Regions from separate parts of the Mus musculus genome. Here regions 1 and 2 are each reported to be linked to region 3. The links are microRNA targets in miRTarBase. Many come from high-throughput screens and were not tested one by one. Region 3 holds a microRNA gene; each other region holds the end of a gene's coding sequence.
Evidence for each region. The annotated mature microRNA mmu-miR-5107-5p reads UGGGCAGAGGAGGCAGGGACA and lies in region 3 at 3,054-3,074, opposite strand. An mRNA with a match to its seed (bases 2 to 7 or 8) in the 3' UTR can be bound and repressed. Matches are read on the target gene's strand: a 7mer-m8 pairs with bases 2 to 8, a 7mer-A1 pairs with bases 2 to 7 and ends in A, and an 8mer does both.

Region 1 (4,133 bases), not on the chromosome of region 3:
GAGGCCCGTGCCACTGTGCCAGCTTATGTCAGGGACTGAACTCAGGGCTTCATGTGTGCTAGGCAAGTACTCTATCAACAGATTGACATCTCTGGCTCCAAACATGCTTTTAAGAACAGTAACTAAAAGAACATAGCGTAGTCGAGCTATCACACTGGGACATATCTTTCTTCTTTGCTCAGTAGATTGCAATTTCTTTCTTTTTCCTTTCCTTTTTTTTTTTTTTTTGTTTGTTTGTTTTTCTAGACAGAGTTTCTCTGTGTAACAGCTCTGGCTGTCCAGGAACTTGTTTAGTAGACCATGTTGACCTAAAGAAATCACAGAGATCTGTCTGCCTCTGCCTCCTGAGTGCTGGGATTAAAGATGTGCACTATCATGTCTGGCTCAGAAATTTCTTAATATCGGGAATTAGTAAAAATCTTATTCAGACAATTCAAGTGAACTGTTAAGCCTGCACTTTCCCTGTAGAGAGCATGGTCAAAAGCATCTGTGTATGCATGTTTAATGAGTGGCCATGCATATTTAATGAGTAGCCATGCATGTTTAATAAGTAGCCCTCCTTTCTGGTTTCTCTGAGTCTTCCACTGAGTGTTGGTTGTATGAGTCCATTGCTTCGTGAATACAAATTCATATCTTCTTCATATAAGGAGTGTGTTTATACCTCCTGAATGTATCTATCTATGTTCATGTACACTCATGTGTACTTGCACACTCGCCCGCTCACACAGATCATACATTTGGATGAAGGGAACTTCTCAAAGGAGAGGATATAAGACACATTCCTTAATTATGCTACAATGCTGGTCTAAAATGTTCTCTTGAGATAATACAAGGGCAAATTCTATAATTCCTTTGATATCTAGTAAGGAACCAAAGGACTGGAATGTTGCTAAAGCAAAGGGATTCTTGACTTTAACAATTGCTTTTTGTTGTAGTAACTAGGGTCATAGCTGCTACTCAAACCACTGGTGACCAAGATGTCATCATTCAGTAAGAGTAGTCTAATCTGGGTCCAACCAATAATGAAGACACATTCTCCCCCATGATCTATGGAAACAGACGTTGCTTTTTTATGTAGAAACAAGAGGAACACCGAATTGCAAGAGGCCTAGCATTAGTGGCATGATTTTATAAGGTTCTGGCTGAGCTTTGTCCAAAACCATGAGTCACCCCATACGTATTGCCATCCCTAAAGCATCCCTACAGCCAGAACTAATTACACTTAATATAAGGATGGAGCATAGGCTCTGCAGGTAAAAACAAAACAAGTAAAATTCACCCAATGTTTTCCTAGGAGCACATGAATAAACAGGCCACATCTAGCCTGCCAAAGTGGCTCAAACACTAGCAATTAGCAGTGTGCCTCAAATGTTCTGTCTTCTAGGTGACAGTGACTGGTGTTACTGGAAGTCAACCTTAGAGAAGGTCTGTTTCCACACAAACAGGTATGGGGGTGCAGTCAGGGATGCTTAGGTGTTGGGGGCTGGGAAGATGGCTCATCAGTGACGTTCTTATCACATAAGCCTGAGAACTTGAGCTACAGACAGTGTGGTGGTTTGCATGGGATGCTCGCCATAGTCTCGGGCATTTGAATACCCGGTCCCAGGTTGGTGGTGCTGTCTGGGTAGGTTTCAGAGGAAGTGCATACTGCGGGTGGGCCTAGTTCTGTTTCCTGCTTGCAGTTCTTATATGAACCCTCAGCTACTGCTCCAACTGCTATGCCCGCCTCCTGCTGCTTCTGCTCCACCAGGGCCGACTCTTACCCCAGATGAACTCTTTCTTCTGTAAGTTGCCTTTATCACGGTGTTTGAAATGTAATTAAATCAGGTAGACGGATCCCAGGAGCTCATTGGCCTGCCAGCCTGACCTCCTTGGCAAGTCTCAAAAATTAAAAGGTGGATAGCAAGCGAGGAAACACTACTCGAGGTTGGCTTCTGATCTCCACATATACCTGCATGTACATACAGGTATGCATGCACATGTGCACGTTCATGCCCAGAGCTGATTAAAATGTTCTTGAAGATGCTTTCACACCATCTCCTATTGGCTTGTGGTCTCCGGGAAGCCTTTTTATCTATCTATGGCATTTGTTCACTGTCTATGAGGAAGTAAAAATGGGAGGGAGGGGGCAGACACAATACAGATGCAGATAGAACATTGAAGAGGATGCTGGCAGCAGGACCAGGCCTGAAAGTTGATGGGACAAGTATTGGTATGGACTGGGGACAGGATTCCCTGGGGCTGCAGGGCAGTGGAGTGACCCGAGGGAGGCACTGGAGGGCATTGGCAGGGAGGGACTACAGAGGAAAGGCCCAGCACAGCGGATGGATGGAAACAGCTGCATACACCTTCTGACACCAGGGACCAGGCCACTGAACGGACAAGCTAGAGCCTGGCAGAGAGGCAACTGGTAACTGCTGTGGTGGTTTGAAGGGGAACGGTCCCTAGGGGCTCATATTTGAATGCTTGGTCCCCCACTGGTTTGGGAAGGACTAGGAGGCGTGGCCTTGGTGGAGGGGTGTCACTTGGGGGTGAGCTCTGAGGTTTTAAAAGCCCCCATTCCCAGTTAGCTCTTTCTGCCCTGTGCTTGTGAGATGTGAGCTCTCAGCGACTGTCCCGGCCTCCTGCGGCCATGCTCCCTGTGAAGGTCACAGATTCACCCTCTGGAACCTGAGCCCCAGATTAAATGCTTTCTTTTAGTAAGTTGCTCTGCTCATGGAATTGGTCCCAGTGTTGAAAGTTAAGGCACCCATCGCCTCTCCAGAGGGGACCCATGACTTAGATCACACAGCTAGGAGTGAAGCACCCTATCTGACCACCACTTTACAGCATCCAGGCGAGGTTTCCACTTAGCAGAGAATGAAGAGATTTTCCTAAAATGAACGAATGAAGGAACAAACACTCAAAGTCAGGAAATCACAGGGGCTCCTCAAAAGCTTTTATTCTTTTCTTTCTTTCTTTTCTTTTTCCTCTTCCCATGGCCTGGATAACAAAGGCTTTGTCATAATTTCTATGAACCATCTCATACAAACAGCAGAGTGCCTTAAATAACACTTAGATGATTTGGAAGGGCAGAATGAACACACACACACACACACACACACACACACACACACACACACACACACACACACCCCTCCAGAAGTTTAAAAGTGCCCTGACAGTGTAGGAAGTGTGGCTTCTTCCACCCTGGGGCAACATCACGGCGCTCAGCTGACAGTGGCTCACCAACCAGCAGCCTCCGGGACAGCTGCCCTGCCTGAGTCCTGCGAGCCAGCTGGCAGATGGACTAGCAGAAAGGGGTTATGAACTTGTCTAGCAGCTGCCAGAGGTGATGAGTAAGCCCTTTATCCTGGAGGCAGGAAGTTTCTCTGCCATCAGTTCTACCAAACAGAGCAGCAGACCCCAGTATCGGGCATCACAGCCATCATCCAGGGGCCAGAAGCCCCTCTCCTCCCACCTCAACACCTGAGCAGAGTACGTGTGTACAGTTTCTGCAAATTAAATTACTTCCTTAAAAAACAATAAACTATACAATTCTCTTTGAAAAGTCCTTCCAATCCCATTCTTAAGATTAACTTACAAAACTGTGCAAAATCCAACACTGACTTCAAATAAATAGGACGAAGAGGTGCACAGAGCAGAGCTTTTGTTGTTGCTGTTGTTCTTTCTTTTCCTTTTTTAAAAAAAATGTGGAGTTTGAAAACACTAGCTGCACATCGAAGCAGCTGCAGGGTGAAGTCCCTGTGGAGGCTGCTCACCACGCTCTCAGCTGCGGTGCTGGGTGAGGTTTGCCGTGTTCCGAGTTCTCAGTGGATGCCGCCGCTGAGGTCCTCCACCACGCCCTCCTTGAGGAGCTTCAGGAGGAACTTGGTCTCTGTGGTCACATTGTGCATGACCTGCCAGTGCATGGCGCCCATGCACTGACTGTCAAAGTAGTGCAGAGGGGTCCTGGGTTGACTGAGGTCGTAGCCAAAGCCTGCCAGGCTGACTTCATCACACAGATGTGTAGCCAAGACAACGGCAATGACGCCGATCGTGGGGATGTTCTGGGAAGAACACAGACCAGTTTATGCATTAAAAAATTAGTATTTCAATTATTTTTAACTCATTTCATTTTTGAGAAATATATA
Region 2 (4,145 bases), not on the chromosome of region 3:
AAGGCAAAAAAGTGCTACCCCTCCCCCGAATCAGCATGCATTCCACCGCCAGCAAGATGGAGCCAGGTCGCCTCCAAGATGGAGGCCCGCGGGCACAGGCGGGACCCTGGCCGCAAGAGCGCGACGCCGGGGAGCACTCGGGGGCGCGCGGGGCCCACTCACGTTCTCGAAGCCTGTTCTTGAAGTTGGGGTCACTCCGCCTTTTGCGGTCGAAGTAGATGCAGTACCCGATGAAGAGGGCACCGCACACGCCCGCGGCGATGGCGCTGTTCCGGCCCACCATCTTCGCTCGACTGGGGCGTACGCCGGGCCGCGGCAGCCCGCCTGGCAGCGGTTAGCTCCGACCGATCGGAGCACGCCGGCCGCTCGCAGCCGCCTGCCTCCAGTCCAGACGGAAAAGGCCGAGCGCGAGGACTTCCGGCGCGCGAGGACCCCGGGGGAAGGTCCGCGGCGGGCTGTCCGCGGCGGTGCCTGCGCGGGAACGCCTGGTGCGCACGCGCAGATGGACCCAGTCTGCGCGGCTGAGACGCCAAGCTGGGGGCGGGGCGTGCACTGCAGAAGGATTTGTGCGTCATCCCGTGACCAGGGGGTCAGGGGCAGCACGTGTTTGTGGCGTGCTGAGTCAGAAGCCTCTAATCCACTGTCCTTGCTAATGAAAGACGAAGGTGGGAGCCGGCTGAGAACAGCATCTCATCTCACTGTGTCCTTCAGGAAGCCTGTGACTTGAAGTGCATGCGTTTGCTTTTTAGGTTTTTGAGACGGGCTCTCCCCTTGTAGCATAGTAGGGTCTGGAACTTGCTGTGTAGTCTGCCCTGGCCTCGAACCTGCAATCCTTTTGCCTCATCCTCTGAGCTGTGGTTTTAAAGGAAGACCTGAGCCGCCTGATCTGGCAGTATTTGCTTTGTAAATTGCGTTGTGACTGAGATTAGACACAATGATTGACTGCAAAATAATTTTATGATGTAGCCCTGGTGCGGAGAAGAAAAATGGGTTAATTCGTTCAAAAAAATTTAACCTGTAAGGAATGCAGAAGGGCAAAAAAAAAAAAAAAAAAAGTCTATGGGTGGCCCTGATTTGTGCCGTCATTAAACTGCAGTCTTGTCGTTCTCTCCCTCCTCCACAACCCCCATCAAGATTCCCAACCAGCTCGTTACTAATGCTCGAACCCACCCACCACACTTGTGGCTGGCTTTTGAAGGAAAGGCAGTCTGGTACAGCAACTGCTCCCTTCACTGAGGAAACATCGAAACCTGGGACAGTGACAAGCTATGCTGCAGTCTCTGAGAATTGGGTACAGTGATAAGAGGTAGCCGATGCAAGCCTTTCCTGCACCTCTCATTGTAAGAATGCTTTTTTTTTTCATTTATGCATATGAGTGCTCTACCTGCATGTACACCTTCGTACCAGAAAAGAGCATTAGATAGCATTACAGATGGTCGTGAGCCACCGTGTGGTCGCTGGGAATTGAACTCAGCACCTCTGGAAGAATAGCCAGTGCTCTTAACTGCTGAGCCATCTCTCTAGCCCCTTTAAGGATTTTTTGAAGCTATGTTAAGGGAGAAAAAAAGTTTACAAGAAAAAAATGTTTCATACTCATGACTAATCAGTACTTAGCCAGCACTTTTATAACAAAGCCAACTTCTATCCACTCTTGACCACTTATATACATAGTCTTGTGGCTATTAAGTATTTTATCAGATAGAACGTACCAAGAAATTACACTAAGCATCTTTAGAAAATTTCCTACAAAATACATTTTTTAATGATTTACACAATCATAGTAGCACACACATTCTAAAGGAGGAATTTCAACAGTTACACAGTACCGAATTCCAAAGTATCTAGGGCCAGTGAGATGGCTGAGTGAGTCCATGCTTTGGAAGGAGAAAACTCCAGAGTTTTCTTCTGGCCTCCACATTCACATCATACACATATTAAATAAAGTTACATCTATGCATGTATATAACCTGCTCACTCACAGGAGCTGTAAGTTGTACATAGATTATATATGCACGCACAATCTAATGTTACATCTTTATATAGTTTATGCAAAAATGCTCCAGAGTGATCAGGTAAAATTGCTGAAATTTAACTGAAAAGGTTCTAAATACTGTAAGGAAAACCAACCATAAATTATCCAGTCTTGGATACAGGAAATAGAGCTTTCTCTGCTGTAAAAGCTACACACTTTTATTTATTTTTTAATATTTATTTAATGTGAGTACACGGTAGCTGACTTCAGACACACAGCAGAAGAGTGCATCGGACAGATGGTTGTGAGCCACCATGTGGTTGCTGGGAATTGAACTCAGGACCTCTAGAAGAACAGTCAGTGCTCTTAACCACTGAGCCATCTCTCCAGCCCCACACTTTTATTTTTTACTTGTATATATGTGTGTGTAGGTTATGTTAGTGAAAAAGTGCACAAAGTCTGGGGAGACTAGAGGAGTTGGACCTAGGAGCTCAAGTTACAGACAGTTGTGAACTGCTTGACGTGGGTACTAGGAATTGAACTTAGGTACTCTGAAGAGCAGTGCATGCTCTTAACCAAGAAACCAACTCTCCAGCCTCTAGAGCTATGGGGTTTGTTTGTTTTTTGTTTAAGATTTATTTATGTGTAAGTACACTGTAGTTGTATCCAGACATTCCAGAAGAGAGCATCAGCCAGGCATGGTGGCGCACGCCTTTAATCCCAGCACTTGGGGGGCAGAGGCAGGCGGATTTCTGAGTTCAAGGTCAGCCTGGTCTGCAAAGTGAGTTCCAGGACAGCCAAGGCTATACAGAGAAACCCTGTCTCAAACAAACAAACAACAGAAGAGGGCATCAGATCTCATTACGGATGGTTGCGAGCTACTATGTGGTTGCTGAGATTTGAACTCAGGACCTTTGGAAGAGCAGTCAGTATTCTTAACTGCTGAGCCATCTCTCCAGCCCCTAGAGCTATGTTTTAAAGACCTCATTAGGTTTTCTACATGGCATTTCCCAAAGACAGAACTTTTACAACTAAAAGAGTGAAAACTTATCCTACCCTCTTGCCTACTGGACTCTGCCTGCCTGAATCAGCCTTGGCTTCCTGCTTCCCCCACTTCATCCTGGATCCAGCCCCAGCTTGGTAAGATGTGTCTGGAACTTAGGGAATGCAGCACCATGTTGTCATGTCATTCAACTTTAAAGACTGCAGTTTAATTAACATCATTTATTAGATGCTGTCTTTAAACTTTCTGGGACAGCTGTTTCATTCTGAGTGATACTAATTTAAGCATCACATTTTCCTGGAAGAGTATTTTTCTTATGAGCACCCCCCCCTCCACACACACACACACCTAATAGCCAAGGACATCATTGACCACTGTAGTCACTGGCAACGAATTAGAAGATAGTCACTCTTATCCTATCAGTCTTATTGGTTAGCAATTATTAGATATATGGGATAAGAAATGTAGATCTATACTACAATTGCAAGAGAAAGAAAAATGAGAAGTGAAGAATGTGCGTGTGTGTTTTACACAGCTCACAAGTCTTTCTTAGGGACTGTGACTATACCTGGAATCAGTATTCTCACAGTGACCATTTGAACACTTATCCTAAACACAGAGTATTAATGTTTATTATTTTTCTTTAAATACATTTCTAAGAACAAGGCTTCAAAGAAGCCTTACATATAGCATGAATTAAAAAAAAAACAAAAACAAAAACCAGACACCGTGGATGCCTCCACATTTTCTACATAATCCATAAAAAACCCAGACACTCATTGCAAGGTTTCACCACAGAAAGGAGGCAACCTCAGTTATTACTGCTGTTTTCTTGGTTTCTTCATTTGTACTTTTTTCTTTTGTCCTTTCTTTTTCTTTTTCATGAGAACTGCCTTTTCTCCAATAAATGCATTCTTGGAATGGAATTTTCCTTCTTTGGAATGGAATTTTCCTTCTTTGGAAGTAAAATTAAGTCTTTGCTTAGGTTTAATGACATCCTTCTTCAAGCTTGGATTTGAATTCTGTTGTTTTAGTTTTTCTTTATTAACAGAACGCATGACTCTCAGTTTTCTTCCCATTAGCTCAGAATTATTTAACTTCAAAGCAAGATGAACAGCATCTGTGTTCTGCAATAAGGAGAAACATTAATTTCCACCAGAAAGTGATATG
Region 3 (4,127 bases):
GCCCTATCAGGGCCTGATGTTAAGAGCCGCGAGCTGCCGTGGGCCTCCTGACGCTGACCCATCAGTGTCAAAATCTATTGCTCAGGAAGCTCGCTTTCTTCCCACAGAAAAAAAAGACAAGGAGAAAAAGGAAAAGAAGAAAGGAAAAAAGTCCCTGGCCAAAGACTCTGCCTCGCCGATCCAGAAGAAGAAAAAGAAGAAGGTAGATTGAGTTCCTGAGGGGTCTCAGGGCTAGGAATTCAAACCCTTCCCCTTCTAACACCTAGACCAGGCCCATGCCACCTTTCCAGTCCCTTAATCTAATGGACCTTGTGAGGAGGAGCAGGGGAGGGGTGATGGGAGAGACCTCCACAGGCGGGACAATGGTCAGCTTTCAGGTTGGCTGGCCAGCGGGGAGCCCACTGAAGAAACAGCCAGCCAGCCGCTTCCTGGGATCAGAGGCAGTTCTGCCCAGGGCTGGTATCAGTGGGTCTCGATCCTTACACCTATGGGGGCGTGGATCCTTCGAGGGAGTTCTGTCCTGGACCTGTGGGACAGCGGTGGTGAGGAGAAGCCACAGAACTGATAGCTTGCTTCCTTCTCTCCCCACAGAAGAAGTCAGCCGAGCCTGCCGTGTGAGGCCCAACGCATAGAGCAGGTACCTGACTGCGTCCAGCCTTTCTGGGCAGCTTGGGTAGGCCCAGTGGGAGGGAGTTGGAGAGAGAGAGGGAGAGGGAGAGAGAGAGGGAGAGAGGGGGAGAGAGGGGGAGAGAGGGAGAGAGAGAGAGAGAGAGAGAGAGAGAGAGAGAGAGAGAGACTTCTTTCCTCAGGTTGGTTGGACAGCAGCTGCTGCTGCAGCATGCAGAGGGTCCACCCTGAGGGAGTCTGGTGCCTAAGCTAGCTGCCGCCCATCCCTCCCTTGGTTTTGTTCCCTTTTGTGGAGATAAAGGTCGGCAAAGCTGACCAAAGCCTGGTTTGTTTTCTTCTCCTAGAATCTTGGCAGAGTGTGACCATCCATCCCCAGGCCTCTGACCTCTGGCCAGCGTGAATTGGGCCTGGACTTTTTAACTTTCCCTCCCTCAGCAGAAGATGATGGCTGGCGCGTGCTGGCCAAACCAGTGAACCCGCAGGGAAGCTGCAGTACCAGGAGGAAGCGAGGTGGGACACACACCCCCTCTGAGTGCTACGTGACATGTGTATAGTATATCTATTTTTTTAAGCGACTTGCCTCTCTCCCTTCAAATCCACCGTGCCCAGAGGCCTCCGGACCTCCCTCCATGTTATCTGCAGAGCCAGCAAGGTCCCGCGTGTGGTTCATCCCACACCCTGGACCCCTGGCGCAGCCTGAAGCCTTGCCCCATCAATTTTTCCAGCTATTTTGGTTTTGTTTTTTAAAGAACTCAGAATAAAAGACTTTAAATATAAAGGTTTGCCTTCCCCATGCATCTGGGACTCGGACTGTTACTGGCTACTTAGGACAGACAGTGTAGTGACCCTGGACATGCACAGGTCAGTACTCAGGGCTCCTTCCTGACTTCAAGCCAAGGCCCTAGGTACTGTGAGTAGGACAGTTTGCTAAAGAGGAAGGCTCAGTGAAGCTCCCCAGGGAGGGAGTTGATGCAGGGACGGCTCCCCGTAGGAAGTGGCCTATAAGCTTAAAAGGAGCTGAAGGTGGGTCAGACGCCAGGTAGATGGCTCAAGTGACCAGGGGGCCTTTGGAAACAAGTTACGATGTGGAGGGAGGCAGTGGCGAACAGTGGTGGCTGGCATGAGAAGCGGGGAAGACCCAGTGAGCTAGGCCTTGAGTCACCCTCTGTCTGGGGAACAGTTCTGTGCTGGTGACAGTAAGAAGTGGGCAGAGCTGAAGTATGTTGGAATAATCACTGAACATTCACCTCAACAAAACAAAAAACCAGTACAGAGAAGGAGCAGGTGCAAGTCTCGGGGACCCTGTGCTCAGAGCCTTGGGACGGGCACGCCATACCCAACAGTCAGCCATTCCATCCATTCTCAAGTGTGGATCAGAGTGTGGGATGTAGGTCTAGATCAGAATACAGAGAGCCTCTCCTTGGCTCGGCTGACTCGCAGAAGTATTTAAACCTACAAAATGGAACAGCGTCCTAAACGTTCATCTCGGAGTCCCTGGTGGTGAGGGATCCGCTCCCTTTTCCTGTGACAGTGGGCTAAAGCTGACAAGACACAGGTCCTGCCCAGACAGACAGCCACTGGCAGCCCCCACCTGCATCCATTCCTGACACTAGGTCCCTGTGTCCACTGCCATCTGTCATCACACTTACGCTGTCCTTAGTCCAGAAATGGAATTGGGGACGGGAGGAATGGAAGCTAGGACGTGATGAGATGTGATTTTAAAACCGAGCAGGAGTCTGTTTCTTTCTGACTGTTAAGTAGACACCACGTGTGTCTGGGACCCATCTCCCCAGTCCATGTACGTAGAGGATTAGATTTAAGGTTGTCCTCGGCCTTGGGGTAAACTAACTGGATCCCAACTGAAGAGGCAGAAGCAAGAGTGTTCTACTTTCTTCCTTTATTGTCACTTGAACCATGATCCTACAGGCTGCTGACAAGCTTGGCTGAGCAAGGAACCTGAAAGGGGGTGGGGCTTGAGGGGGGGTGGCAGGATGTGAGGAGGGGTTACTGGGAGGAGGGGCTTGGGTTCTTCTTCCTTGAGGAGAAGGCAGCAAATGTGTCCAGCCTAGGTTAAGGGTAGGGCATCCCTTGTCCCTGTCTGCGGGCCTTTATCTCAGAGCCCCACATTCAAGACTACTAATGGGTCAGAAATGGGGGTTCCCTTTAGATAGCGGTAGCCAGCAAGGCCCTCCAGCGTCCTCCTTCTGTTCTGACTTCATTTGCCGTGTCCTGGGACGATGAAACAGACACCAGTCTCAAGCCCCAGGGTGCAGGGAGACGGGAAGTGGGGTGTGACATCAGGGAACATAAGAAGGGCTGAGGCACAGGAGAGCAGGGGGCGCTGCTGCTGTGCAGAGCTGGCCTCTGTCTTCACAGGGTGACTGGGAAGAGAAGCACAGGTTGATACAGCTGGGCCACCAGTTTGTTGTCCCTGCCTCCTCTGCCCAACATCTTGGAACTGCAGATCAGTCTGTCCCCCTGCTAAGCTCAGGTAGTACTGTGCTCCCAGCCACCATCCCATTCTAGAAAAACCATCCCAGTGATAGTGATGAATGTCCCAGTGTCACCAGAGTCTGCATGTGGGTGGCCCCCTCTGTGATCCCCCCCTTACCTTGACCCAGTTCCTGCCTGGTCACTCCCAGGCCAGAAGATAGGTCTTCCATGTCCAGTGGCTCTGCAAGGGAAGCATCAGGCTCACTGTTATTCTTACCCCAACACACACACACACACACTGTTGCCACTGTGCCTTGAACTTGGCAAAGGAGGCACCAGAGCATACAGTGTGGTTGGGGATACAGTGAGACTGGTGGGTCTGTGGGACTCCAGTGCAGGACAGCGTGCGGAGAAGAAGAGACAAAGATTAGAAGGACACAAGGAGTTCCTGTGTGGAGAAAGGGGCTGGTGTGTGTGTGACTGATGGTGGATGCTCCCAGGGCACAGCCAACCCATGTCCTGACCCCATGTATACTGGGAGGGACCTTTGGACCCTTGGCCTTCCTAGAGCTTCCTAGTCCTTTAGATTATGTGACACGGTGTCCCCTGCTTACCACTGCAGTTATGGCGCCCGCGGCTCTTGGTGTGAGGAACCTCAGTGCCGTTGGGGAACACACACCAGCAGTAGCCAGTGCTCCCGTGGCACTGGAGTGGCAAATAGTTACCGTTCTCGTCGCACTTGGGACGGAACGCACCCGGGTAGACGGCAGGGATGTGGCTGACTTCTTCCTGGCACTTGGTCAGTACTGAAGGCATGATGAAGACAGTGAGTGGGTGGACTCTGGGCCAGGATCTCAGCAGAGCAGAGACCCACACACACACACACACCACTGCCATGGGCTTAATGCCTATCCAAATTGCTTTCCTTATGGGGTAGACCCATAGCCTAGATGAGAAAACTGAGGCCTGAGTCTGAAACCAGTAAGATCCAAAAAGAGAAAGCATGACTTATAGGTGTCATTTGCCCCAGTGAATAATTATTCTGGATTTTGTTACAGTTTGATTCT

Region 1: miRTarBase lists St3gal5 as a target of mmu-miR-5107-5p. Seed matches in the 3' UTR shown: 7mer-m8 at 3,070-3,076.
Region 2: the mRNA of Rbm34 is a reported target of mmu-miR-5107-5p. Seed matches in the 3' UTR shown: 7mer-m8 at 2,705-2,711.

The regions. Positions count from the first base shown.
Region 1 is chr6:72,153,347-72,157,479 of GRCm38, reverse strand. St3gal5 (ST3 beta-galactoside alpha-2,3-sialyltransferase 5) reads right to left here. Exons shown (of 7, transcript NM_001035228.2): 7 at 2,910-4,049. The coding sequence ends at 3,810. Among named protein-coding and RNA genes, the nearest start is that of Gm38832, 6.5 kb to the left of the region's middle.
Region 2 is chr8:126,945,442-126,949,586 of GRCm38, forward strand. Rbm34 (RNA binding motif protein 34) reads right to left here. Exons shown (of 11, transcript NM_172762.3): 11 at 1,731-4,102. The coding sequence ends at 3,794. Tomm20 (translocase of outer mitochondrial membrane 20) reads right to left here and starts at 480. Exons shown (of 5, transcript NM_024214.2): 1 at 163-480. The coding sequence starts at 283. It overlaps LOC115486982 (a long non-coding RNA gene), which reads right to left and starts at 156. Exons shown (of 2, transcript XR_003947623.1): 1 at 1-156.
Region 3 is chr18:60,811,033-60,815,159 of GRCm38, reverse strand. Mir5107 (microRNA 5107) reads right to left here and starts at 3,084; the gene lies at 2,997-3,084. Cd74 (CD74 antigen (invariant polypeptide of major histocompatibility complex, class II antigen-associated)) reads right to left here. Exons shown (of 9, transcript NM_001042605.1): 7 at 3,675-3,866; 8 at 3,239-3,301; 9 at 2,508-3,008. The coding sequence ends at 2,998. It overlaps Tcof1 (treacle ribosome biogenesis factor 1), which reads left to right. Exons shown (of 25, transcript NM_011552.3): 23 at 108-202; 24 at 592-637; 25 at 972-1,405. The coding sequence ends at 618.